Linked DNA regions of Canis lupus familiaris. The protein of the gene in region 1 purifies or fractionates together with the protein of each later gene. This does not show direct contact. Links are inferred from orthologs where the notes say so. Each region holds a gene or a part of one and is shown in the gene's direction. Other genes may lie near its edges. The genes, in order: SLAMF1 and PTPN11.

Region 1 (3,820 bases):
TAATATTTATTCTCTTCCTACACAACACTTCATCTTCCCTTTAACTTCACCTTCTGATTTACGTGTCTTTTTTGGCCTTTATTGTAATTTCATGTATGTTTAAACATAGGAGACATAATTATTTTTGTTTTACACATCAATACACATTTGCACTTACATTTTTATAATTTTCTTTGTTCATATTTGCAATGTTATATGAGATCATATAAAGGCTAACAATGTGGACAATGATTAAATGTTAACATTTCCTTTATTCTTATTTGTAACAGTCATATGATAGTGTTATAAAGATTAGAGTAACAGGGAAAATTATGCAACACACACTTGCTATCTGCGAGGGAATCCTTGTAGGTCTTATCAGGAGTGCTCCCTTGTATAACTCTGGGGAACACCACTCCCAAAGAATATGTGAGAATAATACCCCTGGAGTTTCTTGTAAATCATGTTCCCTGGACTCATGCCCTAACTGAAGACACCAAGATACAATAATGCACTAAGTTATTACAACTATATTTAAAAGAATTATCTAAATCCAGGTTAAAGTCCTGATGGGAAATCTAACAACACGCTAACTATGTTATGCTGAAGTGGTAAGACTACAGGTGGTTTCCTTTATCTCTTCTTCTCCTTTCCAAAACTTAACTAAACATTAAAAGCATGAGTTACTGACTTCTCTCCTGTACTTCTAAGTCAGGGCCTATCAAAGTCCTCTCAGATGGGAAGACAGGCAGGGGTGGATAAAGGTCTCTTAATTAAATTATTTCACAATCTCTTCATCTATCTCATTACTGCAAGTAATCCTTCCTTAAAGTCATTTTTTCTCCAACATATAGTATCTATGAGTTGTATGGGATCTTGAAAGTCATCTCTTTGAATCACCCAATTACTGCTTGAGTCATCCTCCCAGTATTACTTCCATAATGTTGGCTGGCTCCTTTTTACTAAAATATAGTCTGTGAACAAGCAACATTAGCATCACCCGGGATCTTATTAGAAATGCAGAACCTCAGGTCCTACCCCGGATTTTCTGAAACAGAACTGGCCTTCTAACAAGATGCCCAGGTAATGCGTATGCACATTCAAGTATGAGAAGCCCAGATCTAACGCAGCCACTTCTGGAAATGAGGAATCCCTTGTCTCCTAAGGCAATCCACTCCACATTTGAGCATCTCTTAGTGTCAGAAAGATCTTCACTATATTTAACCAAAATGTTTTCCCCAAATTCCAATCTTGGTTTATACCTGAAGGACTCTACAGAACAAGTTTAATTCCTTTTCTACATGACAATCCATCAAGTATATAAAGAGAAAGATCATGTTCCACCTGGAGTCTTCTTTCCTCCTGTAAGCCTTTTCAACTCCTTACCTTCTCCATCAGAGGACAGGATTCAGAGTTTCCTCACATGAAAACATGTTTCAAGTCTTGCTCTACATCCAGGAGAAATGGAGAGTAGCAATATCCTACCCCAGTGCCCCCAAAGTGTGTTGAAAGGATGATTTCCCTGGCATAAGTCTTGTTACCTCCATTTCACAGGGATGTGGTCTCAATTCACCCCTACACTGACTTTGTCCTAGTCTTATAGATTGTAGGCCATTTATTTAAAGTAACATCAGCTGAATTAAAAAAAAATGCCCAGGGCTATATTTGTGGGGAATGCGAAGAAATATAGGAAAAATTAGTCTGTTTGAAAAAAACAACATGTAAATATATCAGAGGGTTTTAAATATCATACAGTTAAGTGCAATCACGTATGAATTAGACTAATCTGGGGAATTTAAGTAGAGGAGAGGTCATTATAAGTTGGGGTAAGCAAAGAAAAAAAGCATGATGGGAAGAGCATGCACTTTAAGCCAAGAGGCCTCCGTGGGACTCCTGGCTTTGACGCTTCTTGGGTGTACATAGGAATATTAAGTCTTTCTGAGCCTTAGCTTCTCCATCTGTGAAACGTAACAATGGGATTTAGTGTACAGTCGATGTGAGACAAATGTGGCACCTGTGGAAGCATTGTAAACTGGCACACCTAATATGCTTATTAGTAAGTTCAGCACTCCGGCAGGGAAGAGAAGTCACGGGAAACCATGTCCTAGTAGGAAATAGCAGGAACAGCTGTGTGGGGTGGGGTGAACTCAGTGTGTTGGAGGTGACCGGACTGAGACAAATATTATGAAGATCCAGTTCCCTTCAGCTGCCCTGGTGACAGCCACACCAGTCCTGATGCACCACGAGGAAGACTCAAAACATCTGGAAATGCTCACGGTGAAGTGGGCGGCCTCACGAGGCTGTGAACTCCGTGATGCCACTTGGGGACTCCAAGCAGAGTCGTGAAAATTGAACTCGGGGGAATTTGCAGGAGCATTTCCACCTGGGAAGGAGGCTGGACCAGCTGACTCTGAGGGGTTTTCTAGCTCAAAGCCTCTGGATCTTGTGGTTCTCCGTGGGGGGAATTGGATGGAAACAACTCTGCTCGGCTGATTTCCGCTTTCTTTGCTTGCCTTGTAGTCTACTCAGAAGAAACCTGATCCCTTGCCAGCTGAGGACCCCTGCACCACCATTTATGTTGCTGCCACAGAACCTGTCCCAGAACCTGCCCCAGAACCTGTGCAGGTGAGGCATCTCTCTGAGCCTCCTCCCTGAAGGGAGGGTAGAGGTGGAAGAGGGGAACGGTGAGACATGACTAGAGCCAAAATAAAGCAGTCCTGAAGTGGGGGAGGCAGGCCTTAGCAAGTGGGTCACCAGGATCCTCCATGGCCTTGGCTGTGGGACTTCTGGGAGACCCTTCCTGGCTGCTCACATGGGGACACAGCTCTTTCTCTCTCACTAGTGTTTCTCTGAGAGCTGTCCAAAAACCACATCAGAATCAGCTGGCATATTTGCTAAAAATAAAGATTCCTGGAGCTTTCTACTAGGATTCTGTTCAATCAGAACGTCCATGGTGAGCAACCAGGCATCTATACGTTAAAAAACAACCTCCCCAAGGGATCCTAGACCAAGTGTATATTTGGGATTTGCATCTTGAGTCCAAGGTGTATAACAGAATCACAGGGAAGCTTTGTGAGAAGGCTCATGCCTGTGCTCCATCCACCCCGATTTCATCAGACTGTCTAGGCGGGGAGTGTGCCTGGCATGAGCGGGGAAGGGACTATGGTGTGCAGCCCAGATGGAGCCTCGCCAGCTACCCCCACTGCAAGATCAGCATGGATTAAGTTTACTCGACAGGAATTATTCCTTTTCCTAAATGGGCAGAAATAAATTCTGGGCTGAAATCTTGGGTCCAGTGGGGTTCTATTACATGAGATAGTTGAGGATCAAAAGGTCCCAGAAATGCCTGCATTTATCCCTCTGCCGCAAAGTTCCTACCAGACAGACAGACACCTGGAGGACGCCCTGTCTGCACCTGGAGCTCTAGTCTCAGAACAGTGTCCCAGCCAATGGGGGAATTAAACACACGAATCTGGCTTTAAAAAGCTTTAAGCAATAATGCAGATTTTTAGGGATGTTTTCTTCATCAAAAATAGTCTATTTCACATTTCAGCCAAACTTCCTGAATTCCTCCATTCCTGTCTTTCTCTGCCTCTTGAATCCCTCTACCTCGAAGATGTCTTTGCCCACAGCCCCATCGTACCCCCACCCCACCCCCGCAATCCATCCTTCTCTCTTTGGGTCTCACCATCCCTTTCTTTTTTTTTTTTTTTTTTTTTTTTAAAGATTTATTTATTTATTCATTCAGAGAGCGAAGAGAGAGACAGAGACACAGACAGAGGGAGAAGCAGGCTCCCTGCAGGAAGCCCGATGTGGGACTCGATCCCGGGTCTCCAGGATC
Region 2 (3,820 bases), on another chromosome or scaffold:
GTGCCATTATCTGCATTTCACAGATGAGGAAACTGAAGGTCAAAGAGGTATGGGATTTGCCTTGGGAAGTCCTAGAGAAGCTGGGCTCCACGTGTGGATTGGACTAACCCCAAAGCCCTTAGCTAATCTATTCTCAAATACAAACAGGCAGTCTTATAAATACTCTCAAGAGCAGACATTGTTTCTGTTCATATTAATAGTGTGGGTTTGAGTCCAAAACCCCTATGAATGGCTCCAGCGTCATTGCTCTTTGTCCTTCTGTCCACAGTGCTGGGATTGGCCGGACAGGGACGTTCATTGTGATTGATATCCTTATTGACATCATCAGAGAGAAAGGTGGGTCATCTGGAGGGCAAGAAGTTGTAAGTTCTTTTTTAGTTTATGGAAGGAAAGTGCTAGTGAAAATAGCCTGGAGGAGAGAATTTGAATGTTAAAACATTTTTAAAAATCTGGGCTGAAGACTTTGACTTTCAGTTGTTTATAGGAGAACAAAAGTGATTCTATTTGAGCCTTTGACATAAAATGAAGCCCAGGAGCCGTGGTCCCGCTGCTGTGGTCTTTTGTTGAATATGCAGTGGTGGTCTCTGGGGTGGTGCTGATGGAGAGTCCTGACCTCCGATACTTAATCAGATCATTTTCTGGAATCATTTGTATTAGTCAGAAGGCAGTGTAGCCCTTGAAACATGTTCAGTTAGAACATTAAAGACTACATTTAAAAAAAAATTAAAAAAAAAAAAAAAAAAGACTACATTTACTATATCTCTGAGTCTGCTAAAAGTTGTGCATTAAACCACTTCATCCTGGCCCCACAGTTTCTCCTAATGCTTCATGGTGCTTGCTTTGCAGGTGTTGACTGCGACATTGATGTTCCCAAAACCATTCAGATGGTGCGGTCTCAGAGGTCAGGGATGGTCCAGACAGAAGCACAGTACCGATTCATTTATATGGCTGTCCAGCATTACATTGAAACACTACAGCGCAGGATTGAGGAAGAGCAGGTACCAATCCTGGAGGGGGCTGGTGTGCATATTTGTACTTTCTTTTCTGGGCAGCTCTGATACACTCTGCTTTTGAGCAGGATGGGCCTCTAAGAGATAGCTGTTACTGTTCAGGAATGAGAAACTCATTCCCAACCAGGAAGGGCCTCTCTGGAAACTATTCCCCACTTCACAACTCTGGTATTTCAGCAGAGGGTAGCTTGGAGATAGCTGCTATCATCCTGGCCTGGCAGATTGGGGAACTGCCACGTGGAAAGGTTAGGATTTTCCCAGACAACATCCCAGGATTCTCACATGGCAAGTTTGGAAATGAAAGCCTTGAAGTTTCCAGCCTGTTCCTGTTTAGATCCAGGCCATCTTTATCCTGATCCCATCTCTTAAACAAATGCTTCACTCTTCATAGCACATAGCAGTTTGAACCATAAACTTGGTTGAGTTGGAAACAGTGAAATTTCAATTTTAATAAGCCATGCATAATGAAGAAGAATGTGGAGTTGGAGCATTTCCATTTGAAGCTATTCATAACAGACACAAAGCTGAGTTAATTAAGAATACGCTGAGATGAGGGAAATGAGGAGACTGCTCCTTTGGGGATCTGGGCATCTCCCCCCCACCCCCCCACCCCCAACTGCTCTGCTGCAGACAGGGGAATGTCTAAACAGCAGTGATATCTGCCTACTTTACCCTGTGTATTGCCTTCCAGAGAACCCGGCTTCTCAGAATGGCACCTGCCAGCGAATTGAGAGACTTCTAGCCTAGCAGAATAGCAGCCACATTATCAAAAGCTTCATTAGCCAAAGTAAGATATCTGTCAGCTTAGTAGGTTCTCAGTTCACATAAAAAGACTAGATTATGGGGTGCCTGGGTGGCTCAGTCGGTTAAGTGTCTGACTCTCGATTTCAGCCCAGGTCATGATCTCAGGGTTGTGAGATTGAGCCTGGCACTGGGCTCCGTGTTCAGTGCAGAGTCTCCCTCTGCTCCTCTCTCTGCTCGTTTGCATTCTCTCTCTCAAATAAATAAGATCTTAAAATCCAAAACACTAGGGGCAGCCTGTGTAGCTCAGCGGTTTAGTGCCGCCTTCAGCCTGGGGCATGATCCTGGAGACCCAGGATCGAGTTCTGCGTCGGACTCCCTGCATGGAGCCTGCTTCTCCCTCTGCCTGTCCTCTCTCTCTCTATGTCTCTCATGAATGAATAAATACAATCTTTAATAAAAAATTCAAAACACTAGATTGTTTTCGTTGTACAAAAACATCTTCAGCAACGGTGTACGTATAGAAATATAAGGTCAAATAATCAACATGGTACCAGTTTTGACCTTCAGTGCTTTAAATCTGATTTGGTGTTATCGTAATTGTTACAAAATATTTAGATGGTTGCTATAGGCTATTTTCTATTTGTCTTCCAATTATACTGAATTTGGGCCAGGAATAAAACATGAAGTTGCCCATATAGAAAGACCTCCTAATAAATACAAAGAGAATGTAGCACACTATTGGTACAAATTCAGGAATATCTTGAAGCATATAATCTTGTTTGGAAAAGCTAGGGGAAAAGCTCTCTTTATTTCATTCAGAAGTTTTGGTATTTATCCTTGTTTTGGCAACTTTAGTAGGGACTTCCCCAGCCTTACAGCACTTGAGATCTTCTGAATTACCGTATATAGTCTCTCTGACCCTAAATCTCAAGATGTAATTTGGATTTAAGAACTCCTTTAAAGATAGCTTTATCGGGCAGCCCTGGTGGCGCAGCGGTTTAGCGCCGCCTGCAGCCCAGGGTGTGATCCTGGAGACCGTGGATCGAGTCCCACGTCGGGCTCTCTGCATGGAGCCTGCTTCTCCCTCTGCCTGTCTCTCTCTCTCTCTCTCTCTCTCTCTCTGTGTCTCTATGAATAAATCAGTAAAATCTTTTTTTTTTTTTAAAGATTTACTTATTTATTCATTCAGAGAGAGCTACCCTAAATCAGTAAAATCTTAAAAAAAAAAGCTTTATCACCCCAGGGTCAGGAGGGGGTAGAAAAAAGCAGAACATATTCCTTGATAATTTAAGTCTTATAGAATATCGAAACTGGATGTCACTGATAATCCTATTTGAAGAGTGCTTCAAATGAATGCATGCATTCATTCGTTCAGCCAGTACTTTTTGGTGCCAATATGTGCCAATATTGTCCTTATTAGCACATTAACTGCTCTTTGGGATCTGAGCCTTCAGAGTTTAAAAAGATGGGTTGGGGGATCCCTGGGTGGTGCAGCGGTTTGGCACCTGCCTTTGGCCCAGGGCGCTATCCTGGAGACCCGGGATCGAGTCCCCCATCGGGCTCCCGGTGCATGGAGCCTGCTTCTCCCTCTGCCTGTGTCTCTGCCTCTCTCTCTCTCTCTCTCTCTCTGTGACTATCATAAATTAAAAAAAAAAAAAAAAAAAAAGATGGGTTGGCTTATTCATTTTTAAAAATGAGATCCTATAACGTGTAGTTCCATTTAATTCCATGTATGAACTTACTACCTGATTTTGTGGTAGAATTAAGAAGTACCTTCTTCTGGTAGAAAGCTTAAGTGGTAGCCTTAAGAACTAGTGAAGCCACCTGAGTTTTAAACTAAGCCAAAGAATGAAACTCATTTAGGATCATTGGTTATTCTTTTAAATACCATCATTTCTACAATTCTGAAGAGTTAAAGACCTTTGGGAATGAAGGAATTTTTGAAAGAGGGTAAATGAAAAAAGACAGTGAGTCAGGGGTGTTGAGCCTGGGGAAGGAAGCAGGAAGTAGTGCTGGTGCTGGGAGGAGGCGAAGCAGAAATAGGTGGGCGACCAGGGGAGGGTGCA

What was found.
Region 2: the proteins of SLAMF1 (region 1) and PTPN11 purify together in Homo sapiens (affinity purification with western blotting; 3 studies listed by BioGRID and IntAct, with this or other methods). This does not show direct contact. The link is inferred for Canis lupus familiaris from reciprocal best matches to the Homo sapiens genes SLAMF1 and PTPN11.

What each region holds. Positions count from the first base shown.
Region 1 is NC_049259.1:22,509,195-22,513,014, forward strand, and holds part of SLAMF1 (signaling lymphocytic activation molecule precursor), read left to right. Parts: intron 1-2,499; coding exon 2,500-2,604; intron 2,605-3,820.
Region 2 is NC_049247.1:10,377,033-10,380,852, forward strand, and holds part of PTPN11 (tyrosine-protein phosphatase non-receptor type 11), read left to right. Parts: intron 1-268; coding exon 269-336; intron 337-846; coding exon 847-998; intron 999-3,820. UniProt on the Homo sapiens protein: Acts downstream of various receptor and cytoplasmic protein tyrosine kinases to participate in the signal transduction from the cell surface to the nucleus. Positively regulates MAPK signal transduction pathway. Dephosphorylates GAB1, ARHGAP35 and EGFR.